Elephas maximus indicus: one gene and its partners. The protein of the gene in region 1 interacts with the protein of each later gene in a biochemical or structural test. Links are inferred from orthologs where the notes say so. Each region holds a gene or a part of one and is shown in the gene's direction. Other genes may lie near its edges. The genes, in order: PDZK1, SDK2, SLC34A1 and solute carrier family 22 member 12-like.

Region 1 (7,884 bases):
ATGGCTGACCACAGCTCTCCAGGGTCCTCGGGTCTCCCCTGACCTGATAACCAGGTTGCTGAAATAAGTTGCAGGCATGTGTGTGCCATAACTGGCTGGGGGGGTGGTGGGAGTGCAGAGGCTGCACTCCACCCTCAGACAAAACAGATGGGGCCATCCCCATCCTGACCTGGGCTTCCAAGAAGAAAATCTACCTTCTTCAGTGGGCAAGGAAGGCAAGCATTGCTTTTCTTTTTGACATGCTAGAATTCTAAAGCAATGAGGGAAAACAGGGTGGACATGGATTAGTTTGCTCTCCAGACCAGAATGTCAGGGGGCTCAGGAACCATTCTGTTAGAGAAAATGCTTGAGTCAGGGATATCTTTTCATCCCCTTAAATCATGCCACTGACCTGGGCCCACTCGTCTGCTCCTGGTTCCTGATTCTTTCTCACAGGCCTTGTACTTCTGGATGGGGTGGTCCCAATCTCTCTTGGGCGCAGAGGATGCAGTCAGGCTGAGGCTGCGGCCCCGAGATCCCTGCCACTCTCCTGGCTGTTCTTTTGCTCCCAGGCTTGTCTGTTGGGGCCATTGAGAGGTTGACTCTTTACAGCAAGATTCAAACTTCCCAAGGACCTCTGATCTGCAGTTTCTGGGTCCCTCAGAGACAGGCAAACAGAGACACTTTTAATCCACTACAAGAATGCCCAGACCTTTGCACACGTGGGAACCCAGAACAGGGCATGTTCTTGCTCTGGGCCTCAATTTTTCTTTTGGTAGAAAAGGATTGTGCATTCTGAACCCTCAGCTGGGAGAAGAAATGACCACTAAAATATCCTTTGCAGTCAGCTACAAGTGTTAATAATTCACAGCTCTCCAAGGTCCTTTGGCCTCCCCTGACCTGACACCAGGTTGCTGAAAACACTAGAAAGTTGAGATCTGCTATCTTGTGGGGCCACAATGCCTGTAAAGCAAAGTGGCTGCCTTTCCTCCCACCCATCACTGTGCACTGCTGTAAAACATTCATTGCAGTCCTGCACCTGGACTCTGACCTAATAAATTCCTCCAGAGGTATGCAGACTGCACAGGCTGTTTCTTCAGACGGTGGATGAGGCCAGAGTAGCATGGTGGGGGAGGGGGTAGAAAGGGGAGATTGCCATAAACATTGACTCAGGACAGGGACAGAAAACCACTGGAGCTAAAAATGCCAGGCTCTGAGTCGACGGCACTGGTTTTTGTGAGTTAATGAGCTACCAAAAAGACAGGGTAACACTGAAGCAATCAGATCTGAAATTGGGATAAAAATTCAAGAGTATCAGGGATGGAGCCCAAATGCAAAGGGTGAAGCCTGGAATCTTGTACATAAGAACATCCAGATGGTCCCCAGGAAGCCAGGCAGAATGGTGTAGTAGAAAGGGCATTGACCTTGGAAGCAAAAGCTCAGGGTCTTAGCCCTGTCCCTGCTATGAACTTTTGGAGACCTAAGTTAAGTCAATTCATCTCTCTGAATCCTTTTTCAGAGTAAGAAAATTGAAGTGGTAAGATCAAAATTTCCTGACCAGGGTGCTCAGGTGTGCCACAGGTGGGTTATGGGAATGCCAAGATAATGCTCCCTTTGGGTTTTGAATAGTCTGGGCAGGGCCGAGGGCAACTGAAACCCTCAGGTAGGTCACTTCCAGCCTTGAAAAACTTCTTCTGTTTACTCTGTTATCTAGACATACACCGTAATTTTTAAGTTTTTGAATTTCTTAACCTCATTGTCAGATATGGTACACAGAAAATACATGAATGAAAATGCATAGCTCAATAATTTATCACAACCACCTGTGCGACTACCAGTCAACTCAAGAACTAGAATCTTGCCAGCATCCCAAAAGTCAGTGTAGTGAGTGACCACCTAAACAGGCACCCCAGAAGTTCTGATTTGGAGATGACATAAATGGAATCATAGAATGAAAACAAATGAACTACAGCTCCATATAGCAACATGGATGAATCTCATAAACATCATGCTGAATAAAATAAGCCAGATGCAAACCCTGAACCATTTATTGAAAAAGGCCATTCTTTCCCTCTGTTCTTTGTCATAAATCGATATAAATCATATATGTATGACTGTGTTTCTGGGCTTTCTAAGCTATTCCATTGGTCCATTTGTCCATCTTGTGCCAGTACTATATTAAAGTAGTTATTGTCACTCTACCATCTTGAGATCCACTACAGCAACTCCTTCCTTACTATTTTGTTTTCAGAACTAGCTTATGAAGCTCCATCAACAAAAAAAACAAAGCCTATGGGAAGTTTGTTTGGAATTACATTAATCTGTAAACAATCGTTTTGAAGAGAATTGACATCTTTACAGTATTGAGTCTTCCAATCCATGAATATGGTATAATCTTCATTGGATTTTCTTTAATTGCTTTTGGTGATGTTTTTTAATAGTTTTCTACAAGTATGCCAAAAATATTGGTCCCCTCAACCTTTGGAGAGTCTGGGCAGAGCTCAGAGTTCCTGGTCTCAGGCAGGTCTTTCCAGCGTTGAACAAACACGTCTATTTACTCTAGTGTGCTATACAACTACTATCATTTTCTATGTGTGGCATGATGGGAAAAAGATTGAGAAGTCTTGGGAAGTATTTCTAATTTTCTGTTTCTGACCAGTTGCACCAAATGGTGTGTTGTGAGCAGGCAGGAGCGCCATACATTACTGTTCCAAACATCCCAAACTCCCAAGTTGCCCATTGTGTACTTCTAGCTCATTTATTTTCATTGGCCTGTTTGTATAATGTGTGCCCATAAATTAAGAGGACTGATTCCTTCAAAAAATGAGAATAATAATGTTTCTATGCACCAAGCATTTACCAGGTTCTGGGCACTCTACAAATGTCTTGTTAATTCTCTGACCAACCCTATGAGATTGCAGTATTATTTTTATTATACAGATAAGAAAGCTGGAGGTTGGGATGCAAAGTAACTACTAAATTGTAGAACTACTATTTTTTTTAAATCAACTGAAAACCCTCCTAATAAAGTTCACAGAAATACTGTGGAAAATACATCAAGCATTTTGTCAAATAGATAGTTGAACTTGGAAGAAATGGAAAATAAATCTCTAAGATCCAGAATGAAGAGGAAATGGAAAAGTGGTAACCGGTTTGTGTTCACAGGGTCACTTTGCAACAGGAGATAAAAGCTAGGAACTGAGACCCTGCATAGAGGTGACACCCTCAAAAACTACATTCTCAGTGAAAAGGTGGAAGAAAAACCAGCCCTGTTGGCAAAAGGAGTTTCATTCATTTATTTATTTGATTAATTCATTTGACAACATTTTTTGAAAAGGCTTATATTCTAGGCACTTGGGATGTAGTCAACAAAACAAATACACACCCTGGTGGTATAGTGGTTAAGGGCTACAGCTGCTAACCAAGCGGTTGGCAGTTCATAATCCACCAGGTGCTCCTTGGAAACTCTATGGGGCAGTTCTACTACGTCCCATAGGGTCACTATGAGTTGGAATTGACTTGATGGCAATGGGTTTAGTTTTTTGGTTTTTGGTCCCTGTGGGTATATATATATATGTATATTGTATGTATATACATATGTATGTGTATATACATATGTATGTGTGTGTGTATATATATATAAATGGAAGCCTGAAATGTTGTGGCTATTTGTTCCAGCTGTGCTGGGATAGAAGGCAAGTCTGAGAATCTTGTTGATTGGGAGATGAATGAGTGCTTCATGTGAGAACTGCTTTTTTTTAATTTAAATAGATGTTTTCAGAATCAATTTTACTGACTTATGCTCCTTAAAAAAAGAAAAAAAGGTATTTTTACATGCAATATAATCCAGCTATTTTAGCTGTATACCCATAGCTTGATGAATTTTGGTAACTGGAGACATGTTGCCACTCCCAACACTCAATAAAGTTTCATTCCCTCACCTTAAAAAGTTTTCACTTTAGGCCCTAGATTTTAAGAGGGACACTGACAAATCAGCTGGGCGTCCAGGGTGATAAGAAGTCTTGAAGTTATCACATAGGCTTAAGCCATATGGAATATTCTATAGGCCTTATGGAATGAGGGGCATTCAATGAATCTCTCAGAGTCTCAGAGAAGACTTATGGGGGATAGAAACCAAAATATCCAAACTTGTTGCCCTCGAGTTGTTTCTGACTCATAGCGACCCTGTAGGACAGAGTAGAACTGCTCCATAGGGTTTCCAAGGAGTAGCTGGTGGATTTGAACAGCCAACTTTTTCGTTAGCAGCCAAGCTCTTAACCGCTGTGCCTCCAGGGCTCCTGTGGGGGATATCCAAAACCAAAACCAAACCCATTGCTGTCGAGTTGATTCTGACTCATAACAACCCTATAGGACAGAGTAGAACTGCCCTATAGAGTTTCCAAGGAGTGCCTGGGAGATTTGAACTGTCGACCTTTAGGTTAGCAGCCACAGCACTTAACCACTATGCCACCAGGGTTTCCATGGGGGATATAAAAGAGGGATATAGTTGCCTTCAAATACCTGAAGGACTGCTGTGTAGAATAAAGACTAGATTTAGGATGTAGAGCTCCAGAAGGAACTATTAGGATTTATAGGTAGAGGTGAGAGAAATTTTGACTCAAAATAAAGACCACATTTCTAACAACAATATAACAACAACTATTCACAGATGATGAAAGTGAGACTCAGCGAATTAAATTAGCCTAGATTAAACACCTGCGAAGTGGCAGAGGCCGAATTTGAACCCAGGTGTTCTGGTGCTAAATCCTGATTTTCCCATTATACCTTGCTGCTTTGGAAGATATGCAGAAGGCCCAGAGGGCACGCTTCAGGTGGAAAATAACTGGTATGCGGAAGCTACTCAGGTATTTGTCATTTTCAACCATTTACCAACTGACTCCGGCCATGGCTTTGTTGGGGGCAAAGCCAAGGCACAGTGACAGCAAGAGGCCTTTCCGGCGTGGGTGGAGAAAGGGTGAGGCCACCCGGTCCTCGGCCGCGGTTTGTTTTGTCTCATTGCCTGGAGCAATCTCTTGCCCTTATTTCCAGTGTGGGCTGAGGATGCAGGTCAGTGAGAAACTTGGTGGTAGATTCACCAGTGTGGGTGCTGCTAACAGGGATCAGCTGCTGGTCCTGGCTGGGGCTGGGGCTGGGGCTGGGGCTGGGGCTGGGGCTGGGGCTGGGGCTGGGGCTGGGGCAGTGCAGGAGAGCACCACCCCACTGCCCAGGCAGCAGGGCTGAGGAGCTTTTGAAAATGCCTTCCAGCTACCCAGACATGTTTGCCTGAGACACAAGAAGTGAATACAACTGTCATTAGCTTGGAGATTGAAAACAGAGCACTCTCAGGTGAGAGAGATTAAAAAAAAAAAAAAATGCACGGGAGAAAGGGTATAAAAGGAAGGGAGCTTGGGGAAGAACAGGGGCTTTGAAGGGTGAACTCCCAGGGACTATGCGAGTAAGAACTCTCAGGGTGGGAGTCCATCTTGCCCTATCCACTTGGGCTTAATGGCCTGTTAGCCTTCTACTGGGGCCATGGGTGGGGACTGCACAGGCTGCTGCTCCCCAGGGAGGCCTTGGTGTGTAAGGATGCTCCGGCGATGGCAGCCTGGCTCAGCAGCGACCTTTGCTTGGGGACAATGGAAATGCCTAAGGGGACTAGGTGTTTGTTGAGTGTTGGTTGGCTGTGACCTAGGCATTTGCCTAAGGGAGGGAACTCAGGAAGGCAGAGGTACTTCCTCCCTGGTTGTCTTCCCTTCTTTTCTCTGTCCTGGTCTTTGGGAAGGGCAGGCAAGGAGCAGCATCCCCAGGCAGTTAGGCAGGTGGGCCTAAGTTTTTTGAGTTTGCTGGAGTTTTCCAGGCTTGCCCAGCTCAGGGCCTAGCCAGCTGGCAGGAAGCAGAACAGAGGTCAGACTACAAGTCCCTGTTAAATACATCAACTTTTAAATCGATCTTTGTTCAAAGTTCAGCAAGTTCCAAGACTAGTGCTCATCAACAGAGAGAGTTCCTGAGTGAACGGAACAGCTCCTCTCTTTCCTGGATTCAGGTAAGAACTTCTGACTCTTGCGTCCCCCTGACTGAGGGTACCAGCCACCTGGCCCTGGACCACTGTCTTTCTCTTCTTTTTTTCTTTTCCAAGCAAGCAGCTGGCTTTCTAGGATAGGAGAGAGGCCCATGGGCAAGTTGTCATTGGCCAGGCCCCTGGGTGGGGAAGCAGGGGGTGTGTGCACGTTTGAAATTCTCTTGCGTGATGGACCCCTGACCCTTGCAGGTCAGGGGCTGCCCGACAAAGCAGTTTGTGGAACTGATCCTCAGAGAAAACTTTCCCAGGGTCGTATGGGGATTTGATGTTCAGCCAAAGGGAGACGTCACAGGTCATGAGGAAGTTAACTCCAAGACCTTCTCCACTATTAAGGGGGTTTAGGTATTTGAGATTGTCTTCCAGAAGCTCTTTGTAAAAGACAGAATGTAAGTTAACTTTATCTCATCAGGTAACAGAAATGGGCATCTCTTTTTTTTAAATTTATTTTTTTTATCACATTATAGCACAAAACAATGAGGAAAATCAGTGGGTTTCTAGGGTAGTTGAATTTGAGAATGTAGAACTCCAGTTTCTACCCTTTGGAGATTCTAATTCTTCAGGTCTTGTATAGTCTGAAGTTCTTCTTTTTTTAAGATTTCCCAGGTGATTGTAATATGTAGGCAGGTTTGGGGACCAATAGGAGATTATTTCCTAAGCAGAAGAATCAAGGGACTTAAGTAACCTTCACCTAGTGGTTCACCGTGGAGACAGTCTGGGTTGGCCTCACAAGAGGAACACATTCCTTCTAGTTTACAGTCCCTGCCATACAGCATCAACATGCTCAGTCCTGTATCCAGAAGTCACAGGGCTGAGTGTCTCAGGCCACAACTGTCTGGTCACCTGGAGTCATATGTTCTTCTTGCAGCAACTAACTCAAGGACTTTGAGTTTATGTTTTAATGACTAAGTGAATTGTTCTTATCTTTGACATTTTCATATGTTCTTTGTATCATAAAATATGAAGTAGTTAGTAACGATGGCTTACATTCATAGCCAACTTGCTAGGCAGCTATGTATCATCAAGGGGAGAGGATGCAGGGCTGGGGGAAGAACTGGGTTTTGATTTAGTTGTTAGTGAAAAGTCACTTGGCCAAAGTGAGCCTTGATGTCACCATCTGTCAAATGAAGACCTCATTGTTGCCCCAGGGCTGTACCAAAAATTATAAAAATATGAATGCATTTAGGAGACTAAACACAAAAGTGTAAGGTACTTATGTTACAATGTGTGTATCCAAAAGCTCTGTGGAATAGTGGGAAGAAACAGCCTTGCAGTCAGGTTTTTTAATCTCATTGAAACTCTATTTAAAACCCCAAATCAAACCCATTGCCCTCGAGTCGATTCCGACTCATAGTGACCCTATAGGACAGAGTAGAACTGCCCCACAGGGTTTCCAAGGAGCAGCTGGTAGATTCAAACTGTCAACCTTTTGGTTAGTAGCCATAGCTTTTAACCACTGTTTCACCAGGGCTCCACAAACCTCTATTTCCTAGTTGAAACTAGATGATCGCTAACGGGTTTTCCAGGTCACCAAGGATGTGATAGATGCTGGAGCTTTGAAGCTAGGGTAGTCATTAGCCTCCTGAAGCTGCCCCATTTCTAGAGAATATCTTCATTGCAGGGCTGGGGGTGTTAGCCCTGGTGGTCTTACTGGTTGTGTTCCTAGAGCAGGTATATGCAGTGCCAAGGAATATTCAAAGCCTCAGCCCTCTGTTTTCCCACACTAGCTTTTACAGCTTCCTGGGACCACAAACTCTGAAATGGTCTCCCCCTTCCTCAGATCTTTACATGACTATTTTCTTATCATTTGGGTATGAATTCAAATGCCA
Region 2 (7,879 bases), on another chromosome or scaffold:
TGTGGGACGAGAGGCTACGAGAGTGGCCCTGTGGGGTTCAGTGAATGTTTTTCATGGGGGGGGGGTAACATTTTAAGCCCGCATCTGCTTGTAGGGGGAGAGGGAGAAAAGCAAGGCAGAGAGGCCCGGCCTTTCCTTCTCTTTTGAAATTAACTGAGTTGCTCCCTGCCTCTGTCCCCCACCAGTGGCGTTACTACAGGGGCACGGGGGGTGCCGGCTACACTGAGTGACACCGTCAGAGGGGGTGACACCAAAATGACTAAAAAAATTTCATGCCATGTTTCAGCAGAAATTTATTTTTTATAAAAATATCCCTAAAGCTAGTTATAACAAAAACATTTTTCGTAAGCCCAGCTTAGATGTATCAATGTAGCTACAAGGTTAAAACTCTATGCTAATTTACTTTTGAACCTTCTAATGCACTGGGGTCAGAGTGGTCAATTAATTGTAATTAGTCAATTACGATGACGCTTCCAATCACGCTACAAGTGTGCGCTGTTGTTTTCCTTGCTCCAGGGTTTTCAGCGTTGCTGATTTTGTCAAATTTTCTGGTGTTTTAGCTACAATATTGCAGTAAGTGGCATTTGTGAACTGATACCAATAACTTTTTTGAGAATGAAGTAGTAATTAAAGGAAAAGAAGGAGAAAAATCCGAAAAGGCTTCCGCTTAGTTACCAATAACGCTATAAGGATCAATGTTGTAATTCGATGTAGAATGATTTTACAAAACAATTTTGTTAGTATTCGTATAATCTAAGAAATACTAGATTTAAGCTATTTACAACTATATGTATCACCTATTAGTCTATGATTAAAATTAATAATAAACATGCATATATATAACGGTTATTGATAACTAGAGAAATCGACAGCTGAAAACATGAAGTGGGGAAAAGGAGTCTGTATGGTCTGATACAGGAGGAGGTCCATGGGGAGGTGACACCATGAGTTACTGCATCACCAGCCCTAGTGACGCCACTGTACCCCACCCCCTGAATTTACAGAGTCCCATGTATGGGGAGAGCGTCTCTGAGGCGTCCAGCCTTCTACAAGGTGCTGGCTTTGGGGATGGAGAGATATACATGAAGTTGAAGAGCTGCAGGCGTAGACTCCACTCAGAAGGGGCGGCATTGCAACAGGGAGGCAGAATGGAGCCTGGGAACGCCGCACGGTCCCTCCTGATGTGACATCCACTGTAAAGGCACCGCTTGCAACTTTCTAATTATACCGCTGGTGGCAAGAATGAGGTCCCGTTGTCTGCAAGTGACTTTCCCAGGAACAAGCCCCTCTCAAAGCGGCAGGCTCCCTGCTTGGCCTCCTCCTAGGCCAGAGAAACTCTGATAAGAAGCAAAAGCAGATAATCCCATTCGTGTGTGTGTGTGTGTGTGTGTGTGTGTGTATGCACGCACGTGTATGTGTGCAGGTTGAGCCCAGACAGAGCCCAAGCCCTTCCCTCCATCCCAGAGCAAGGATGGAGATAGCCATTTGCTGTAAGAGCTGCTGGTTTAGGGTCGCTTCCTCTCCCCTCCCCGGCATGCAGGCATACCTGGACTTTCATGCAGACTTCCAACAAAGCAGAGGAACCCCCCTTCCCTCACTCCAGCCCCTGACTGTCCCCTGTCCTGGCCTGCGGGAATTAAACTCCAGAAAAAGGGAGGAGGGCTACACACGGCTTTGCAATGAGGCCTCCTCTACAAAGGGAATAGATGCTGTTTGGGGAGCATACTGCCCCCTTCCTTGGCTGCTGGAATTCTGGGGATTGGGTACGAGCAGGGTGGACTCCACCAAGGTTTCAGGTATTTGTGTTGTCATGAGCTACTAGCCTCTGTGAACAGAAACGCAACCTTTCTGCTGCTCTTTTTGTGGTCGAGGAGAGGTTCCCAGCAAATCTGGCTCTCTGGCCCCCTCTGTGAGCGAACCGTATAATAGCACCCTCAGGCCTGCTGCTCTGAGCTGCTGGGAAGGGCCTGGGCTCTGGGGTGGAGGCTCTGTAGAGCTCACAGCCGGTAGGTGAGGTCAGGCCTGGGCATCCCACAGCAGGTGGGAGTGGCATGGCCACCAAGGGGAAGGGGGCCAGTGACATCTAGGCCACCTATTCCCGTGCTCCTTCCATTTTCCATCCATCCAGCCAGAGGGGCTGGGACAGGGCTCATCTTGCCAGGAGGAAAGTTGCAAAATGTGATTTGAATCAGGCAATGATGGAAGGACTGTAGGGAAGGCAGACTAGCTTCCCAGACACTTCCAGAAAATGCCCAGTTCTTTTTCCAAGGTAGGTGAAATGAGAAGGTAGAAGTAATGAAATGCTGGCAGTGGCTACGTCCACTTCACTGTAGCAATCAGAAAGGGTACCCTCTGGGTGGAAGGACCCTGTAGGCAGAGCCTGTGAGGGAGAGCCCTGGACGTGAAGGAGGAGACAAAGGAAGCAGCTGCTAGGGGCCCAGCTCAGCAGAACTACCAGGAAGAGAGAGGAGAAAAAAGGACTCATGGCAAAGGTCTCACTGGTTCTTTGCTTGTCCACCGAGAACACCCAGGAGGCAGGGCCAAACGATCCCTTAGGCTCAGGAGACCCATTGCCAGAGAACACAGTGCTTTTAGTGGCACAAGCGACTAAGCGCTCTACTACTAGCCAAAAGGTTGGTGGTTCAAGTCTACCCAGAGGCACCTTGGAAGTCAGGCCTGGTGATCTGTTTCTGAAAGATCACAGCCATGAAAACCCTATGGAGCACAGGTCTACTCTGCATACCACGAGATGGAATCAACTCAACCGCAACTGACCATGACAACTGGGAAATGTTTCCATTTCTTTTAAAATCCAAAGCGATAAATGTTTAGGTTGTAGAAAATATTTTACCATGTAATATTAATATATTTACCTTTATACCAAACCAGTCATAAAATACTGCTTTTAACATGTATGCTTTGATGCAGGAAGGGGGCCCACAAAATCTAAGGTGCCTAGCGCCCACAAAAGTATAATCCAGCTCTGCAAGCTGGCGCTGGGGTCCCATGCTTGAGGGTGCAGGCCCTGCTGTCCTGGGAGCCACAGGGAGGAAACCTAACCTCGGATCTATTCTCCTCGTGTCCCCTCCACCAACTTCCCTCTCATCTACCCTTTACAAGCGGGGTTCAAAAGAAAAACACAAGGAACAAAGGTTGTCTGCGCCTTGGCACCAATCGCACTTTCTCAGCCCTCTGTAAGTCCGAGGCCGCCCTTTTGTCTTGCTCTCCCGCCGCCCTGAGCGTTTCCAGACTTTTGAAAGCCTGACCTGGGAAAGGGAAACTGGAATCAACCAAGTGACCAAGGCCCTCTCCCCAAACACATCCCCCACCTCTGTCGCTCAATGCTGGGCGAAGGGGTTGGGAGTCCCAGCTACTGGAGGGAGAGGTTGGGAATCAGATGAGGCCTTGGGGAGAGCGGTGCTCCGCGAAGGCTGGAAGGGAAGGCTGGCGTGAGAGCCGAGGGCTCTGCGCGAATCTCTGCTCTTTCGAGGTTGGCACTGCTGCCCTCGGGCGGGTCCCTGAGGCGCTGGGCACCCGCGGCCGCGCAGCCAGATAGCGTTTCTGCGGGGCTCGCTCCCGCGTCTAGCTCGCGGCCGCCGCCGCCGCCCCCCCCCCCACACACCCCCTCCTGGGGCGCAGGCTGCTCTCCAGTCGCGGCCACGGGGTAGCGCTCGGCCCCCCTCTCCGCGTCTCCGCCTCCGCCGCGCTCGTCCCCGGCTCACGCTGCCCCCGCAGCTCCCGCTCGGCGCAGGCAGGAGCGGCTCTCTGGACGCCGAACCCGGGAAGCTTAGGGCGGCGGGCTCGGCGAGCGGCGGCGGTGGCCGAGTGAGCGGCGCGGCCGAGCCGCTGGGCGGGCATAGCGGCCGCTGCTCCTCCGGCCCGGGTGGGCGGCTAGCGCCGGGCGTCCGCGGAGGCGCCGCGCCCCGGAGCCGGGACTGCCTGCTGGGCTCTCCGCGCGGCTCGCCAAGAGCTCCCGCCAGGGCGCGAGGGAGGGCACGGCTGCCCGGCTCCGTCCTCCGGCCAACAGGAGGCTCCGCGCCGAGGCTCCGCGGCCGCCGGGGGCGCCGAGCCCAGCCACCATCCCCGCCGCCCCGCGGCTGGCGCGGACATGGGAACTCGGGGCCGCGCGCGGGGCCGCGGGACCCGCAAAGTTTGCTAGCCCGCTGGGCGCCGAGCAGAAGGCTCTCCGACCCCTGTGGCCGCCGGGGGACGGACAGACTCCAGATTCCGCGCGAGGGCGGCGGAGCCGAGAGGGGTGGCTCGGCCCCGCCAGATGCCGCCTGCAAAGTTAGAGAGAAGAAAACTTCGGCTCCGGGAAGAAACGGACCGCTATGCTCACTGCGCCCCCCGAAGCCGGAGCCCCTGAGAGACCCCCAGCATTCGCGTCTGCAGTTGCGCTCAGCGCGGGCCGGGCCCCGGGGACCGGACGCCTGGAACAGCGGTGACTGCGTCCGCCAGAGAAGCCAACCAAGGGGCGGAGGGGGCGGGGGGCGGCAACGTGGCCGCGGAGGAAGTTTCCTGAAGTTGTCGGTGTATTCCAGTGTTCGGCCGGCGACCCGGCTGGAGCGCAGAGGCCCTCCTGCTGTGAGAAGTCGATGTTGGGGTGCTGAGGGCGGGAGGCGACCCGAGTCCGCGAGGGCGGCTTTGCTTCTTTATCCTTGGTCGCCCCTCGTCTTCTGGGCGTGCCGCTGGCTCGGATTTGGACAAGAAGAGGAGGAGGAAGGGTTGGGGTAGCCAGCACTGCCCCTCTCGGACTTACAGCGCTAGGGACCCAGAGCCGCGTAGACGGTCTCCCGGGGACGAAGCCGTGGTGTGCCGGACCCCACCAGGATTATAAAACAGGGGAAAGGGACCCCAGAGGCCTCTCCCCCAAGCTGACCACCATGTGGAGGCTGCTGATCTGGGCTCTGCTGACCCTGCAACGGATCCGCGCGGCCGGAGCCCAAGGTAGGAGGGCCACCCCCACGTGGGGCTGGGGAGGAGGCTTTGAGAGTGGACGGGAGAGAGACAGCAAGAATCCGCTGGCCTCGCGATGGCCTCGGGACACTGTGCTTAGCCCAGGCAGAGCCCTCTCTAGGGAGTTTCAGGACCCCACCCCCCGGAGTTTTGGGGGCACCCTTTTGGATGTGGGACAGTCTCCCTGAGACTTGTGGTTTTCGAGTGGGGGAGGTGGGGATGAGTGCTGGGAGGCGTCACCGGGGTAGGCTGAGAAGAGGCTAAGATGAGAGGGGGTACTGCCCCCCGGACCGCTGTTGGTGCCCTCGGGCCGGCGCGGTGGGGGCGCGCCATTCTGCGCCCCCGCTCCACCGCGCACCCCCAGACCGAGCTCCTGGCTCCGGCTACCGCGCCACTCGGTGCCCGCGGGGAAGGGCAGGGACAAGCCGGGGCAGGCGCTCGCCGACCCGGGGCGGGGGAATGGGGCGGGTGGGAGCTCCAGGCGGGCGCCGGGTGCCTGCTAGGTCGCCTGGGCAGGGCAGTTGACCGGTTTGGCCGCGTACTGGAGCCCGCGCCTGGCCGGATGGCCGGTCGTGAAGGCTGGAGGTGCTCGGCGGCGCGGACCCGGGAGCGGCGCAGCCCATGATCACGGTCGAAGGAGGAGTGCACAGGGAGGGGCTGAGGCCCTCGCCCCCCAGCCCCCTAGACACACGCTGCGTCCCGCCCCTGCCTCCAGCCTCCACTGGCGGCTCAGCTGTGTCTGCAGCCGCCACTCTGACCTGTAGCTGCCTGGACAGCCTCGCAGGGGAGAAAAAGGACTGATGGGTTTAGGGTGGGGGGTACCGGGATGGACGAGGAGGCGTGATCTGCGCTGCCCCGAGAGCGCGGAATCCCAGAAGTCCCCTCCCAGCCACCCCCACCCCCACCCCCACCCCCACCTCCACCCCCCGGCAGGTCCCAGAGGGCGAGGGCGGCTGCACCGGCGCTTCCTTGCCTTTGGGGTTTGCAAATCCAGACTGTGGCGCGAGCGGTGTCCAGCGGCGCCTGCTGGGGGCGGAGGGAGACGAAGCCTGGGTTCCAGCTTCGGGACTCGCGGGGCTTGGCCTTGCAGCTTCCAGGTTCTGGGAGGTGGCCAGGACCCACTGGGGGCGCTGGACTGCGGGGGCTGCAACCCCGAAACGGCCCCACCCCTCCTCTGGGGTCGCCAAGCCACGGGAAGGAAGTGGGGAAGGAAGGGACCCCAGCGAGCCCAGCGTCAGGCAGTCCAGAGAGCCAAGATCAAAGAGATGAAAATAATCATCTTCTCACTCACAGGGTTGAGGGAAGGGTTTTACGAGGCAATTTATGGAAAAGCGCCTGGAAATTTTGTAACGGGTCCTATAAATGTAAGGTAATAAAAACTATTATTATTTTTATGGTCATCATAAAATCTTTGAGCAGGAAGCGATCTCTGAGGTCGTCTAGTCCTAGTAGCCATTTTAGAGATAGGAACACCGAGGCTTAGTGCCCTTAACTGACTTTCCCGAGGCCGTTTGTGATCTGGGGGCAGAATCATGACTGGGTCCAAGTGACCCATATCCCAGCCTGGGTCACATTGTCTTTCCTAGTGGGTGGCCCAGAACCCAGAGTGTTCTTCAGGCCCATCCTCCCAGATCAAGACGGATCAAGAGATGCTGTTTGTCCCTACATATTGTCACCCACTGATTCCACCAGAGCCTCAAGTCCTTCCACGTTCAGATCTTAAGCAGTTTCACCCAGTGGCTGGATATTTCCATCCCCACCCCTACCTGGTTACGGTCATTTAGTCACTCAGCAAACATCATATCATGCCTGTGCAGGCTCTGGATAATGGAGTGGCACAGGCCTGGGGCTGCCGTGATATCAACACTGGGGTCTAAGCCGCTCTCCCGGGAACCTGGAGCCTCTGCACAGCTGGAGTCAGCTTCCCTGGCCCCTGACACCAGCTGGATAGGTTGTAGTCTGGCCCAGGTTCTACCCCCTCATTTGCTCTGAGATGCCTGCTGGGTTACCAGGAGACAGAGAGGACTCTGTGGGGTGTCAGCCTCTGTCTGGACCCTTCTAATTTAATTACTGCAGAGACTGGGCAATGGCATGATTTCCCTGGGCAGGTGGCTCACTGTTGTTGCCCATCTGGGACCCTCATGAAGTCCCCAGGTCACCTGTAGGTCCTTCCTTTAGGGTCATCAAGTCTTATCCATGTTCCACCTGTACACCTGGCCGATCTACCTGAGGCTAGTATTCTGTCCATATGTTCTGCTGAAGTGAAAGCCAGGCTGCCTCCTGTCCCCAAGCAAGCTTCTCCCCATGCCAGAAGCAGGGAAGATCTCTGGTTGATTCACTCCTCTCTGGCTTGTCTTATTTCCTGCCTTTTGGAGTGTCGGCTGCCTAGGTCCCCTGCTGCTCCGTTTGTGTTCTCTGGCTCCTAGAATGTTTTCATCAGGCACTCTCCTTCCATTTGTCTCTGGGGTGGCAAACCTCCTTGCAGAGGATTGTGGGAATTCAGAGTCTCAGCCCAGGCTAGCAGGCAATGCTGGATTTGGGTGGGGCAGGGGGGTCTAGGCATGGGGGTCCTTTCTTACCTGCTTATGACAGGCAGAGTTTCTTCTTGGTGTCTGAGGTCATGCGGTTAACCCTTTGGGGGTGGATGAAGTGGGTCTGCCTCTGCTAGTGTTTGTCACTTCGGAGTCCTCTGTTCCCATTCTTTAGCTGTGACACAGAAGGGCCAGCAGCTGTTCCTCTCTTAAGGCAAATCTCACATTGGCCCACGCTGGATTTTATTTGGACACTTAGCCTAGTTTTTTTCAGGTGTTGGCCCTGGGCAACTTCGCAGAAAGCCAGCATTTGAGCATTTACCTCACAACCTGATGTCATACAATTCACATTCATTTCCAAAACCAAGCGATGTCGTTAGAAGGAGAATTGG
Region 3 (7,515 bases), on another chromosome or scaffold:
GCCACCTCACACCCAACCTGCACAGACTGAACTTGGCATCTTCCCTCCAGAACTGCTCCTCCCGCTGGGAGCCTTTGCAATGTGAGACACCGCTAACCACCCAGGCTGCTGGCCGCAGGAAGGTCTGGGGGAGGCCACAGTCAGGTGAGAAGACAGGAAGTGGTTCGTGTGGGTGCCAAGCCCAGGAGCACAAATAGGACAGGAGTCACCAATCAGGGGGACACACAGACTGCCATGGTCCTGGGAGGAGGCGGGCAGTGGGCAGGAAGGAGGATGAGATGAGCAGAGGGCCAAGACGCTTTGGGGCTGGAGTGTATCTGCCTCCTCTCTCACTCGCAGGAGCCGAGAAAGCAGCTCTCATCAGCTCCAAAGTTTGGGGCCTTTCACTAGGGCTGTAGCAGCCCCACCCTCAAAAATTATTTTTGGAAGTGGTATAAGTTCCTAGTTGGCTGTTGAGATGATTCTGACTCATGGCGACCCCTGTGCGTCAGAGTAGAACTGTGCTCTATATGGTTGTGTTTTTTAAACTTGTGTGTGTGTGTGTGTGTGTGTGTGTGGTAAACGCATAGGTAAGAAAATATTTGCCATCAACAATCTTCACAAGTTAAAGCCTAGTGACATTAAAATGTTCATCATGTTGTTCAAACATCACCATTCCATGGGATTTTCTTTTTTTAATTATTTATTTTATTTAGTTAGTTTTGTTGTTGAGAATACACACAGCAGAACATACACCAGTTCAACAGGGTTTTCAATGGCTGATCGTTCAGAAGTAGATAGCCAGGCCTTTCTTCAGGGCACCTCTGGGTAGACTTGAACCTCCAACATTTTGTAACCGCTTGTACCACCCAGGGACTCTGTACCACCCAGCGTTTTGTAATTACAACCTTGTGACCCACGTGAGCAATACCTGCTTCCTCTGCTACACCCCAATCTCCACAACAGCAGGGAAGATGAACTTTTCAAACATTCGGAGAATCTCAACCTCACTAAAAATGAGAGGCACCTCCGGTTCATAAGGAGACCCTGGGATCTGGCTGCTCCTGCTCAGGGAGAGGAATAGGTCATATGACCAGGGTCTCTGGACCTGCTGCCTGGGTTGGGGTACTCCAGCCCAGAAAGTCCCCCACCCATCCCTACTGCAATTTTAACAGCGCCTCTGAGCCCCAGGACAGGGAGATTCTGACACAAAACTCAGCCACGACTGCATTTCCCTGGTTCAGCAACACTACCCCTCCTCTGTATGAACCCCGACCGTACCCAAATCACTCCTACCAAGTTCAAGGGGCTCGAGGACACCTGAGGGTTCACTGAGTAAATTAGGGTTCGTGACAGACTGTGATGCAACCATTAAAAACGATACGTGTGCCGAGTGTAAAGCCATGAGAAAAGGCTTACGATATAATGTGAGATGAAAAAGCAAGAGGCAATATTTTACGGACAATAAAACCCTAATTGAGTTAGGAAGGCATAGGAAAAAAGGATGAAAAGCAATGCTCCAAAATGTAACAGTGATGTTTCTGAGAAGTAGGGTGGCTTTTTTTTTTTTTCTTTTTTGTTGTTGTTAGTTGCTGTCAAGTTGGCTCCAACTCCTGACCACCCCAAGTATACCAGAGCAAAAGGCTGCCGGTCCTGTAGCATCGTCATGATTGTTGGTATGTTTGAAATCCCCGGTTGTGGCCATCGTGTCGGCCTATCTCACTGAGGGTTTCCCTCATCTTTGCTAGCCTCCGCTTTACCAAACATGATGTCCTTCTCCAGCCGTTGGCCCCTTCTGATGACATGTCCAAAGTAAGCAAGTCAAAGTTTCAGACTATATTCTGTGATCCACAGGGCTTTCATTAGCTAATATTCACAAGTAGACCTCCAGGCCTTCCTTCCTAGTCTGTCTTAATCTGGAAGCTCCGCTGAAACCTGTCCACCATAGGTGACCCTGCTGACACTGAAATATCGGTGGCATAGCTTCCAGCATCATAGCAACATGCAAGTCACCACAGTATGGCAAAGTGACAGACAGGTAGTGGATTTTCATCTTTACTATTTCAATAATTGAATGGAGACATTTTCAGTAGGCACCCTGAAGTGGCTAACTCTCTGCCTCAGTCTCCCAGAATCCCCCACAACCAAGGTGACTATACCATTTATAGTCCAAACCAAGACAATTTTCAGAGTAAAAGGAGACTCTGGCACAACAGTTGTAAACCAGGCCTGGGCCAGGCAAACAAGAACGTATGGTCACTTGGCCCCAAACCAATCCCAGCTGCACCTCCTCCTCCCTCCTCTCTCCCCTGTGGGTTCTGTGACCTGAACTGACACAGCCACTTTGTGGTGGGGGTGAGAGTCAAACTCAGGCCAGCTTGCTCTCTGCTCTTAACCACTTGGACGGAAAGGCAGCTGTGAACAGCATACAATGCACAACTGCTGTGCCCAGACTCTATGATGCTCAATGCATTAAGTGTTGATTAGTTGCTTTTGTTAGCTTCTTCCAAGTTGGGTTCCGACTCATGGCGACTCCATGCACGATGGAACTAAACGTTTTCCTGTCCTGTGCCACCCCCATGATTGGATGCGGATAGGACTGTCGTGACCCATAGGGTTTTCATTGATTTTTGGAAGTAGATTTCGTGGCCTTTCTCCGTAGTCTGCAAGCTCCACTGAAATCTGTTTAGCATCATAGCAACACACAAACCACCAACAGAGGGGCCGGTGGCTGCACTTGAGGTGCGTTGGCTGGGAATTGAACCAGGGTTAAAGGGGGAACTGTTTGGGAATATCCGTCTTCCTTGATAGAAAAACTCTGGGTCTATGTCACCCGAAAATATTTAAGATGTTAGTAGGACTGTTGTTTGGAGCAGCCAGTGAGCCAAGAGGATTGTTAACTTCAAACAGGACTGGGAATGCCCATGCCCTTAGCTAGGGCCATCCTGGAGACTCTGCAAAGAGCACGAGGGCACGGAGAACACAAAAACTCTGTGGGACTTGGTTCTAGGAGCTAAGATAGGTAATTTACATCCTGGAATTTTACAACTCACTGGAAAAGCCTGATGATTCCCATTTTATAGGTGAAGAGACTAGGACTCAGGGGGTGAGGGGACTTGCCTCAGAATCCTACCTGGCTGACTCAGGAGCCCATTGTTTGGACCAGGAGAGAATCTGGCTTTGCCCATCTTGGCTCAGCGTAGAGTAGGAACTTAACTAATGTACTTAAGAATGGATGGACAGACTGGTGACTGGCTGGCTAGCTAGCTGGATGGGTGGGTGGATGGATAGATGGGGTGGGTGGGTGGATGGACACACGCATGAATGGATGGATGTACAGATGGTTGGCTAGCTAGCCAGGTGAATGGATGGGTAGATAGATGGATAAAAGAATGGATCTATAAATGCAGATCGGTGGCTCGCTGGCTGGCAAATGTATGGACAAATAGATGTTGGACAAGTGGGTCGATAATCAGATGCATGGATGGTTTGACAATTTTAGGCAAGTTACTCAGACAGTTGCCCAAGATAGCTCTTGAATGAAACCCACACTGCTGGACCTGATTAAATCCTTAATCCTTTCTCATCTCTATGGCTCTGGGCCCCAACTCAGGCCCTGCAATAAAAGAGGAAGGAGCTTCCCCAAAGGCTCCCTAAGACCCAGCTCTGCATTTCAGAAACTGTACACACCTTGTGTTATTATCAGCCCCCCAATCTAGTGCCTTGACTGGCATATATTCCCCCTCCCTCCATTCCATCACCACCCAAGTCCGCTGCCCAAGCATCCCCTGGATGCATCTTCTCCTCCCTATCCCTCCTCTTCCCAGCTTAGCTCAGACCTCATTATCTCTCATCTGGGCCATTCCATCAGCTTCTCAACTGGTTTTTCTGCTTCCAGACTCGCTTCCTCTGACGCATTCCCTGACCCCACTTCAGATGGATTGTCCTAAAATATAGATTAGGCCCTTCTCCAGCTTGTCAGTGGCTCCATGGCCCCTTAGGCTCACACTCTGGATCCCTGGCCAGGCATTAGAGACCCTCCATGATTCAACATGACACAGCCTCTCTGGGTTTATCTCCTGTTGTTTCCTCCATCATACGCTCCCTTTCCCTGGGATGCTGCCCTGGAGCACAGACAGACACACAGATGCACAGATGCATGACAAGCCGCAGGGAGTTTGAGTCACTCCCTGGGGAGTACTGTCAGGTCAAGAATGAGAGGACTCTCTTTAGGGACCCTGGGAGCAAATGGCCTGAGTGGTGGCAGGTCTCTGCTGGGGGCGTAGGGGATGTGCCTGCCCCTTCACTGGGTGGTGGTTCAGGCTGTGTGTCCATGTGGGGGAGAGAGGGCCTGACCACAGACTCCCCCTGCAGAGCTGACGATTAGCAATTAACCGGGAGGAATCTCAGGGTGAGGTTAATCGAGGAACAGAGGGAGGGCAGCTACGGTTCTAGGGACTTTGCCCTTGACCCGAGGGTATAAAGAGGAGGGTCCCACCCCTTCCTCGGGCCCCTGGGGTTTTCTTGAGCAGCTGAGCAGGAGCTGAAACACAGAAGCCCAAGGTGAGCCAGAGCCCCCATGTCCCAACCCCATCCCCAGCTCTTAGTAGGAAACAGCCCATTATCCCCACCAGAAGTCCTCAGTCCCAGCTCCCTCAGCCAGTCTCCCCTCTGTCCTGCCTGGGTGCCTCCCATTCCTGCCCCTGTAACACCTCAGCCCCAGCCCAGCCTGGCTCACTGCCCCAGGGTGAAAAAAAACTGCTGTCCCAGGGCTTGGAATTCAGCTGTGCCCCCATCCCAACAGTCAAGTACCCCTGGGATAATGTGGGGGTGCTGAGACAGACTAGCAGCAACCCATCCCAACAGCCGAGGATCCTCAGACAATATTGGGGGTGCTGAGGCAGACCAGAGGCACCCCCACCACAATAGCCAAGGACCCCAGGACAGTGCTGAGTAGCTTAGAGCAAGCCTGGGTCTTCCCAGACTTGGTGGCAAGGTGAAGCCCCTCCTTACTGAAATTACCCCTGGTCTGAGCCTCATTCACAGAAGGGCCTTAGGTGTTCGTTTGGTGCCGCCAGGGTAGGAGGTGGATGAGAAAGGAATGTCAGTTGTGAGAGGAACCTAGGAACTTGGGATCCAGGCCATTGGGCCCTCCACCATGTCGGTGTCATGTGTGTGGCTATGAGTGTGTGCCCAGGAGCAGCCAGGTGGCTTCTCCCTGCTCTCAGGATAGGCAAAAAACTCTACCCACCTGCCCCAGCCCTGGTCTACACCTTCAACCTCTTCCAACTCACCTTGTTCCCTTGCCCCCAACCACATGGCAGTTCTCCGTTCCTGAACGGAGCCTGCTGCTTCCTCCCACAGGGGTTTGGCACACAAACCTCTCCTCCTCCTCATCCAGCTAACCGCAACTCTCTTTTGATCTCAGATAATTGTCTCTTTCTCAGGGAAGACTCTCCTCCCCCAAGAGCTGTCACTGCCAACACCACAGGGCACTTGGGGCACTCTAGGGGCATCCTGTATCTTTCGTTATCACACGGTCCCATTGCCATTTTCCACTCATTTGAGGGATTCTTTGACTTAGATCAGTCTCTCCCGCTAGGCTTTGAGCTTTCTGAGGGAAGACTTCTGTCTGACTTTAATCCCCACTGTACCCCATAAACCATTGAATGGTGCAAACAGTTAATGTGCTCAGCTGCTAACTGAAAGGTTGGAGGTTCAAGTCCACCCAGAGGCACCTCAGAAGAAAGGCCTGGCAATCTACTTCTGAAAAGCCACCCACTGAGTACCCTGTAGAGCACAGTTCTACTGCGATGCATATGCAGTCACCATGGGTCGAAGTCAACTCTATAGCAACTGGGGGGTTGGTTGGTTGCACATGCATCTAGCTCAGCACCTGGACTAGAATAGAGAATAAGTACTTGCTGCATGAATGAATGCCCAAATCTGTGGTGTTTGTGAGTGGTTATGCGTGCGAATCCCTGTGTTCCTGCGGAAGCGTGGCTGAATGTGTGTGTGTCCAGGACACACAGTTGTCACTCAGTGTTCTGCACGCAGGCCCCACGGTGTGTGCCCAGGATGATGTCCTATGGTGAGAGACTGGGGAGCCCAGCTGTCTCCCCGCTCCCCGTCCGCGGGGGACATGTGATGCATGGGGCAGCCTTTGCCTATGTGCCTAGCCCACAGGGTGAGTGCTACCCTGTCCTACTCCACCCCGCGGGTTTGGCTTGCCCACAGCTGCCTTCATCCAGGTCACACCTGTGCCGTTCCACATGCCCACCTCCCCAGGATCCTGGGGCCTTTGGGACTCCTGACTAGCCTCCCTCCCCAGTCCTGCACAGGATCCCAGGGACCTCCGCCTATGCCTTCCCCAGCCTGGGCCCCGTGGCCCTCGCCGAGCACAGCTGCCCTTACGGGGAGGTCCTGGAGCTCCATGATCCGCTGCCTGCCAAGCCGGCCCTGGAGGAGGAGCAGAAGCCAGGTAGGCCAGGCACAGGCTGGCTGTCCCGACCCATGACTGGTGCTCACAGCTGCCTGTCTCCAGAGCCTGGGTTGGCCCAGAGGCTCCGCCAGGCCAGCACCACACTGCTCAAGGTGCCACTGATGCTGGCCTTCCTCTACCTCTTCGTCTGCTCCCTGGATGTGCTCAGCTCAGCCTTCCAGCTGGCTGGAGGTAGGACTGTGTGGAGGGGCCAGGGCAGGGTTCCTGAAGGGCATCCATGGATGCTGGCTCCTGCTTTCCAGGGAAGGTGGCTGGTGACATCTTCAAGGACAACGCCATCCTCTCCAACCCAGTGGCTGGGCTGGTGGTGGGCATCCTGGTGACCGTGCTGGTGCAGAGTTCTAGCACTTCTACCTCTATCATCGTCAGCATGGTCTCCTCCGGCTGTGAGTCAGCCCATAGGGCCAGGAGACAGTTGAGTGTGTGTGTGGGGTGCCGTGGCTGCTGGACAAGGGGCTGGGGACAGGAGGCAGGAATGGCAGCAGGGGTGGGGTGGGGAGCTGGGGGGCAGGTGCAGGGACAGGGGGCTGGGGGCAGCTGTGGGGACAGGGGACGGAAGCAGGAGTGGAAGCAGGGGGCCAGGAGCAAAGTGCAGGGATTCAGCATCTTCCACTCTGTCCCCTCAGCATGGCCAGGTGTCTGAGCCAGGAGGTTGCCCTCAGGAGCAGAGAAAGGTGATAACTAGGACATACGCTCCCCAAGAATGTCCACCTTCATATGGCCACTCATTGTATCAGTCAGCGTTCTACCAGAGAAACACAACCAGTAGGAGGTATATGTTAAGAGATTTATTACAAGGAATTGGCATACATGATTGTGATTGGCTACACAAGTCTAAAATTCATAGGGCAGACTGTCAGGAAGGCAGGCTCACACTCTGGGGCAGGAGCTGACGCTGCAGTCTATGGGAGAAATGTCTTCTCTATCAGGGACCCATCAGCTCTACTTTTAAGGCCTTCAACTGATGGGATGAGGCCCACCCAGATCACAGAGGTTGATCTCCTTTACTTAAAGTCACTTGAGTGTAGACGTTA
Region 4 (7,542 bases), on another chromosome or scaffold:
TCAATTCCAATTCATAGTGACCCTATAGGACAGAGTAGAACTGCCCCATAGGGGTTTGAACTGTTGGCCTTTTGGTTAGCAGCCATAGCTCTTAACCACTGCACCACAAGGGTCCTTTTGCTTAATAAAAGGTGAGAAATTTACCCAAAAAAATTCAGGCACATTTCACCTCTGTGAAATTTCTAAGGGTCTGGTGGTGTGGGGCATGTTGAGGTATTCCTTCTAAAGTAAAGGATAAATTGTTGCATCTGGCCCCTCCTACAACTAAAAAGGAGGCACAATGCCTGATGGGCCTTTTTGGATTTTGGAGGTAGTATAGCCCCCATTTGGGTGTGCTACTCTAGCCTATTTATCAAGTGACTCGAAAAGCTGCTAGTGAGGCCCAGAGCAAAAGAAGGCTCTGCAACAGGTTCAGACTGCCATGCAAGCCACTCTGCCACTTGGGCCATATGATCCAGCTGATCTAATGTTGCCTAAAGTGTCCATGGCAGATAGAGATGCTGTATGGAGTCTTTGACAGGCCTGTATCAGCATATCACAGCACAGATCCTTAGGATTTTGAAGCAAAGCCCTTCCATCCTCTGCAGATAACTACTCTCTTTTTGAAAAATAGCTTTTGGCTTGTTACTGGGCCTTAGTAAAGAATGAACACTTAACCATGGGTAACCAAGTCACCATGCAACCTAAGCTGCCCATCATGAACTGGGTGTTGTCTGACCCAGAGAGTCATAAAGTTGGATGTACAGAGCAGCACTCCATCATTAAACGAAAGTGGTATGTATGAGATCGGGCCAGAGCTGGACCTGAAGGCACAAGTAAGTTGCATGAGGAAGTGGCCCAAATGCCCAAAGTCTTCATTCCTGTCATATTATATGCCCTGTCCCAGTCTGCACCTATATCCTCATGGGGAGTTCTTTATGGTCAGTCGACTAAAGAAGAGAAAACTTGTGCCTGGTTTACAGATGGTTCTACACAACACACAGGCACCACTCAAAAGTAGACAGCAGCAGCACTACAACCCCTTTCTGGGACCTCCCTGAAGGGTAGTGGTGAAGGGACACCCTCCCAATGGGCTTAACATAGAGCAGTGCACTTGGTAGTTCACTTTTCTTGGAAGGATAAATGAACAGATGTGTGACTGTATTCTGATTAATGGCCTGTGGCCAATGGTTTGACTGGATGATAAGGGACTTGGAAAGAACATGATTGGAAAATTGGTGACAAGGAGGTACGGGGAAAAGATTTGTGGATAGACATCTCTGAATGGACCAAAGAAGTGAAGATATTTGTGTCTCGCGTGAATGCTCACCAAAAATTGATAGGATGATGCATTCTGTGGGAGTCAGTCATTCTCTTTCCCCAGCCACTCCTGCCATTGCCCAATGGGCTCATGAACAAAGTGGCCATGCTGACAGGGATGGAAGTTATGCAAGGGCTCAGTAACATGAACTTCCACTCACCAAGGCCAGCTTGGCTACAGCCACTGCTGAGTGCCCAATCTGCCAGCAGCAGAGACCAACACTAAGTCTCTGATATGGCACCATTCCTTGAGGTGCTCAGCCAGCAACCTGGTGGCAGGTTGATTACATTGGACTGCTTCCATCATAGCAAGGGCAGCATTTTGTTCTTACTGGGATAGACACTTACTCTGGATACAGTTTTACATTCCCTGCACGCAATGCTTCCGCCAAAACTACCATCTGTAGACACACAGAATGCCTTATCCACTGTCATGGTATCCCACACAGCATCACCTTGGATCAAGGGACTCACTTCACAGCAAATGAAGTATGGCAATGGGCCCATGTTCAGGGAATTCACTGGTCTTATGTTACCCATTGTCCTGAGGCAGCTGGCTTGATAGAACGATGGAATGGCCTTCTAAAGACACAGTTATGGCACCTGCTATGTGGCAATACCTTGCAGGGTTGGAGCGATGTTCTCCCGGAGGCTGTATATGCTCTAAACCAGCATCCAATATATGGCGCTGTTTCTCCCATAGCCAGGATTCATGGGTCCAGGAATCAGGGGATAGAAATGGGAGTGGCATCACTCACTATTACCCCTAGTGACCCACTGGCAAAATTTTTGCTTCTCTCCCCACTACCCTATGCTCTGTGGATTTAGAGGTCTTAGTTCCAAAGAAAGGAATGCTCCCACCTGGAGACACATCACTGATTCTGTTGAATTGGAAGTTAAGAATGCCACCCAGCCACTTTGGGCTCCTCATGCCTCTGGATCAACCAACAAAGAAGGGAGTTACCATACTGGCTGGTTTGATTGATCCAGATTACCAAGAGGAAATCAAATTGATATTACATAATGGAGGTAAAGAAGAGTATGTCTGGAATACAGGAGATCTCTTAGGGCATCTCTTAGTACTACCATGCCCTGTGACGGAATGGTAATGTCAATGGAAAACTACAGCAACCAAATTATGACATGACTACCAATGGCCCAGACTCTTCAGGAATGAAGGTTTGGGTCATCCCACCAAGCAAAGGACCACAACTAGCTGAGGTGCTTGCTGAGGGTAAAGGGAATACACAAAGGGTGGTGGAAGAAAGTAGTTCTAAATATCAGCTACAACCACATGACCAGCTGCAGAAACGAGGAGTGCAATTGTTATAAGTATTTCTTCCCTGCATGTGTGCATCAAATATTTTTGTTTTCTTCATTTATAAAATATCAGAAGTAAGCAGGGCTAGTGTGTTTTCAGTTGTACACGTGTTATATCATGCTATGTGCAAGTATGACTTTATAATTGTCCTTATATAGAGATTATGTATGGTTTAATGAGATGTGTACAGATGCCAAGTTGACAAGGGGTGGACTGTGGTGGTAAATGTTGTGTGTCAACTTGGCTGGGCCATGATTCTCAGTGGTTTGGCAGCTATGATGTAATTTGGCAGTTATGTAATGACGTAATTAACTCCATGAGGTATGTTATGAGCAGCCAATCAGTTAAAAGGAAGTTTCCTTTGGAGTGAGGCCTGTCTCCAGTATATAAATAGATGTTCCAGCAAGCCTTTTGCTCTGTATCCTGCATCTGGCTCATTATCATCTGACATCCAGTTCTTGGGACTTGAGCTAGTAGCTTACCTGCCAATGTTGGGATCAGTCGGCCTCCGCAGCCTGTGAGCCAGTGGCCTGCCGTCTCACCTGCCAATCGTGAGTTCATCAGCCCCTGCTGAAGTCTCCAGCCTGATACCTGACCCACAGACTTGGGACTTGCCAGCCTCTACAGCTACATGAGTCAGGAGAAGCCTCCAGCCTGCTGCCTGACCCATGGACTCGGGACTTGCCAGCCTCTATAACTGTGTGAGGCATTTCCTTGAGATAAATCTCTCTCTCTAGATATAGATATATAGATATAGGTATATAGATATGTATGCTTTACTGGTTTTGTTTCTCTAGAGAACCCAGCCTAAGACAGGGAAGAAAGGGGAAATGGGGTGTTATTGCTTAAGGGGTACTGAGTTTCTGTTTGGGGTGATAAAAAAAATTGGAAATGGATATTGGTGATGGTTGCACAGCGTAGTGAAATGTGATTAACTAACCAAATCGTACACTTAAGATTTTATGTGATATATGTTCTACCACACATACACACAAAGGCCGGGGGCTTTTCATTTGGATCTTACAAAAGGAGATGTAAGCTGATGAAGACTGATGAAGCTGGACATACAGTTACTAAAAGAATCTGGAAGTATTTACACCAAAATGTTAATGGTGGAGATCCCTGGTTGGGGAAGTTTAGGAATAATTTCTATTTTCTTCATATCATTCAATATTTTCTGAATTTCAGGGAAGATCTATACATTAATTTTATAGTCAGAAAAAATTAAAGCTGTTTTGAAAACCATCCATGCATTTCAGCACATCTTCATGGAACCTCTGTTTGTTGCCCAAATCAGTGCTGGGTCCCAAGGATGCAGGACAAACGGCCCCCACCCTCTAGGAATGGGCTGGAAACAAGGCTCCTGGACAATACTACAAGGATGCAGGACAGTGTAGAGATGGGCTCCAAAGATACCTCCGAGCCCGGGGGTGGGCAGGAACAAGCAAGGAGAGCCCCCTGAAGGAGGAGGCGTTCATAGGACCTTCAGGGTCTGGCCCCAGCAGGAGCCTGGAGAAGGCATTCCAGGTTGGGGTGCAGCAGGAGCAAGGGCAGAAAGGCACTGGCCAGCACCGACACATGGTGGGAAGGCATGGATGAGTGGACGTCTCTCTCTGAGTGGGTTAAACTTTGACTGAGAAAATGATTACTAAACCCTGTTCCATAAGTGACACCTGGTCACAGTTTAATTTCTGGCCAGGGTGACCTCAGTCTCCACTTTCCCCAGTTCCCAAATTTAACATTTCTGGGAGGTCCCAGGGTACAGTATCTGGGAGATGTCAGTGGACTCCAGTCTCGTTCAAGCTGCCCCAAGTAACAGCGCTGGGCAGTGGCTCTGGGTCAGCAAGGCGGGTGGCCCCTGACAGGCTGCCCTCTGGGAAGTGGGTGCCTCCTCCGGGTCCCCTGGGAGGCCCCATGGCATTTGCTGAACTCCTCGACCAAGTGGGCAGCCAGGGCAGGTTTCAGGTTCTCCAGACAGTGGCCCTGGTGGCCCCCATCATGTGGGTTACCATGCACAACATGCTGGATAACTTCTCAGGTGCCGTGCCCAGCCACCGCTGCTGGGTGCCACTCCTGGACAACAGCACAGCCCAGGCCAGTGTACCCGGGACCCTGAGCCCTGAGGCCCTGCTGACCATCTCCATCCCGCCTGGCCCCAACCAAGAACCCCACCGGTGTCGCCGCTTCCGCCACCCACAGTGGCAGCTTCTGGACCCCAACGCTATGTCCACCAACTGGAGCAAGGCTGCCACGGAGCCGTGCATGGACGGCTGGGTCTATGACCGTAGCACATTCACCTCCACCATTGTGACCCAGGTAAGGGCCTCTCCCCACCACACATACACACCCTGAGTCCTAACACCCTAGAGGTGAAAATCACAGGTCACAGTTGGCTGGCCTGAAAATGGCCCAGTCCTGGGAACTGGCATCTAACCCCTCCTCAGTCCCACCATCCTAGAAGGTAACGTAGAATCCAGCTGGTCTGCAAAGACTGTCTGTGGGGCTGGGACTAGGGAAGGCCAGCAACAGGTCCGAGTGCAAGCATTAAGGAGGTGGGCTCATGGGAGTGCTGGGTGGATACCCGAGTGCCCCTTTAACATTTGCACTTGGGATTTTGCTGGCCTCCTCTTGGCCTGGTCCTGCCCACACCTCCAAGTTGTAACTCCAGGCAGCTCACTCCACCTCGCCCAGCCCATTTTACTCGGCTGTCAGATACGGACTCAGGTGAAGGGTTTGCTGAATCACGGAGGCCCTGGGCTGGGTGCCGGAGACACATGGATGAGGTGTGGTCTTGCTCCCCATCTAACAGGGAACTGGGCCCGCCCACAGGTCTCCCTGAGGACCCTGGGAGCAGCAGGTGAAGCACCCAGCTGGGGCTAGGGCATTCCAGGTGGCTTTCCAGAGAAGAAGGGGCACCAGGTCAATCTGGAAGGCGGGGAGGGGCAGTTCATCTCCGCAAGCAGGGCTGTATAAAGAACAGAGGGAAGGTTCGGGTAACACCAGCTCGGGGTGGTGACTGCAGAGTAGGCAAGGCCTAGAGAGGGATTGACCCTTGGCCCATTGGGCAATAGGGAACCATGGAGAGGCTTAGGCAAGCAGTGACCGGAAACCTCTCACAAGGCAAAGCCACATTCATGAGTGCCTTCACTGTCCCACAGGGGTCTAGATGGCCCTAGAAGTACCAGGTCAGCTGCCCAAAACCTCATCTAGCTCCTCTGTCCCTCCTGGCTCCTGAGCTTAGCTCTCTCCTCTCCTCTCCCTTCCAGTGGGACCTGGTGTGTGACTCTCAGGGCCTGAAGCCCATGGCCCAGTCCATTTACATGGCTGGTATCCTGGTGGGAGCTGCTATGTGTGGTTACACCTCCGACAGGTGAGTGCCACCTGGTTCCAACAGATTCCCAACTCCTTGCCATCACTGCAGCCCTAGACTTCTGACCTGACCAGCCCCTGACCCCCCTTTGCAGCCAGCCTCAAGGAAGAAAGCTCTGCGTGTAGCCAGAATGTCTGGATATTGGCCTCAGTCCTGCCACCTTCTAGCTGTGCTGCCTTGGGCAAGGGTGTGCCCTCTCTGAGCCTCATTTTCACAGACTCTACTCTCAGGGTTGTAGGGGGGTCATTGCTTCCAATCAACCACTCATTCCTGAAACCTGCTGTGCCACATACCTGCTTGAGTCCTCCTGGAGACGGGGAACGCATCCCCTGCTGAGAGCGAGCTCTCTTTCTGCTCGGAGTCAGGGACATGTTTCTTTATGCTCATAAGCCTTCCAGGGTTGGAGAATGAGGGTCTGGCCCTGGGTGTCTTGTTGACCTTCATCTCAACACAGCCAGCAGTGAAAGGTGGGCTCTCAGAGGTCCCAACCCCCATGCCAGGTGCTGTGGCACACTGTGGACCCCAGGTATTCTTCTGTCACAGGTTTGGACGCAGGCTGGTGCTGACCTGGAGCTACCTTCAGCTGGCCACAGTGGGCACCGCGACTGCCTTTGCCCCCACCTTCCCTGTGTATTGCCTGCTCCGCTTCCTGGTGGCCTTTGCTGTGGCAGGCGTCATGATGAACACAGCCACACTCTGTAAGACCCAGACCCAAGGCCCTGCAGGCGAAGGTTTGCACAAGGCTGACCTGTTCCCGTCTCCTTGCAGTGATGGAGTGGACATCAGCGCCAGGCCGGCCCTTGGTGATGACCTTGAACGCCCTGGGCTTCAGCTTCGGCCAGGCCCTGATGGCTGCTGTGGCCTACGGTGTGCGCGACTGGGCCATGCTGCAGCTGACAGTCTCTGTTCCCTTCTTCCTCAGCTTTGTGTACTCCTGGTGGGTGCCTCAGCCCAGCCCCTTCTCCCAGATAGGTGGACACTCCCTCGCCAGTGACCTCATCCATGCCAAGGGCTCTAACTCCATCCAAAGGCTGCCAGACACCAAATCTCCACTGCAGCCTCGTGTCCCTAACTGCCTCCGGGACACCTCCATATGGTCTTAGACTCACAAACCTAACACCTCCTTACACTTGTTCCTGCCCTAGGCTTTCCCAACTTGGAGGGCATCGCCACCCACCCAGGTATTGGGCTTGGAGCTGCCATGACATCTCACTCTTCTCCCACCCCCCAAGTCCACTCAGTCACCGGATCTTGTCAACCCTACCTCTAATGTGTCCCTTGAATCTCCCTGTTTTCTCCCCTGCAAATGCCAAGGACCCCAGGGCCTGGGTGGGTAGGAAACAGGTGGCCCAACCCTGGCCCTGCTCCTTGGGGACAGCATGGATGGCTGAGGGAACTTCCTGGGCAGAGGCCTGGAGCCAGACAGCGTGTGGGAGCTACAGGCGCTCAGCAGGCTGGGGGCGAATGTGGAGGGCGGGCTAGATGTTGAGGGGAGTGGGGCCAGGTTAGTGCTAGGGGGCTGGGGGAGCAGGGGTAGGCTGCAGGGGGCAGA

Evidence for each region.
Region 2: the proteins of PDZK1 (region 1) and SDK2 interact in a test that uses a peptide from one of them, tested with the Homo sapiens proteins (2 studies listed by IntAct, with this or other methods). The link is inferred for Elephas maximus indicus from reciprocal best matches to the Homo sapiens genes PDZK1 and SDK2.
Region 3: the proteins of PDZK1 (region 1) and SLC34A1 form a complex in vitro, tested with the Homo sapiens proteins (2 studies listed by BioGRID and IntAct, with this or other methods). The link is inferred for Elephas maximus indicus from reciprocal best matches to the Homo sapiens genes PDZK1 and SLC34A1.
Region 4: the proteins of PDZK1 (region 1) and solute carrier family 22 member 12-like form a complex in vitro, tested with the Homo sapiens proteins (2 studies listed by BioGRID and IntAct, with this or other methods). The link is inferred for Elephas maximus indicus from reciprocal best matches to the Homo sapiens genes PDZK1 and SLC22A12.

The regions. Positions count from the first base shown.
Region 1 is NC_064821.1:157,858,016-157,865,899, forward strand, and holds the start of PDZK1 (Na(+)/H(+) exchange regulatory cofactor NHE-RF3), read left to right. Parts: upstream 1-4,884; 5' UTR 4,885-5,046; intron 5,047-5,244; 5' UTR 5,245-5,325; intron 5,326-5,940; exon of another isoform or gene 5,941-5,945; 5' UTR 5,946-6,022; intron 6,023-7,884. UniProt on the Homo sapiens protein: A scaffold protein that connects plasma membrane proteins and regulatory components, regulating their surface expression in epithelial cells apical domains.
Region 2 is NC_064837.1:63,965,712-63,973,590, reverse strand, and holds the start of SDK2 (protein sidekick-2), read left to right. Parts: upstream 1-4,863; 5' UTR 4,864-4,883; coding exon 4,884-4,947; intron 4,948-7,879.
Region 3 is NC_064820.1:197,753,634-197,761,148, forward strand, and holds the start of SLC34A1 (sodium-dependent phosphate transport protein 2A), read left to right. Parts: upstream 1-4,502; 5' UTR 4,503-4,542; intron 4,543-6,036; 5' UTR 6,037-6,057; coding exon 6,058-6,166; intron 6,167-6,310; coding exon 6,311-6,460; intron 6,461-6,523; coding exon 6,524-6,652; intron 6,653-6,723; coding exon 6,724-6,867; intron 6,868-7,515.
Region 4 is NC_064825.1:127,752,400-127,759,941, forward strand, and holds the start of solute carrier family 22 member 12-like, read left to right. Parts: upstream 1-4,534; coding exon 4,535-4,936; intron 4,937-5,886; coding exon 5,887-5,990; intron 5,991-6,533; coding exon 6,534-6,688; intron 6,689-6,758; coding exon 6,759-6,927; intron 6,928-7,542. UniProt on the Homo sapiens protein: Electroneutral antiporter that translocates urate across the apical membrane of proximal tubular cells in exchange for monovalent organic or inorganic anions. Involved in renal reabsorption of urate and helps maintaining blood levels of uric acid.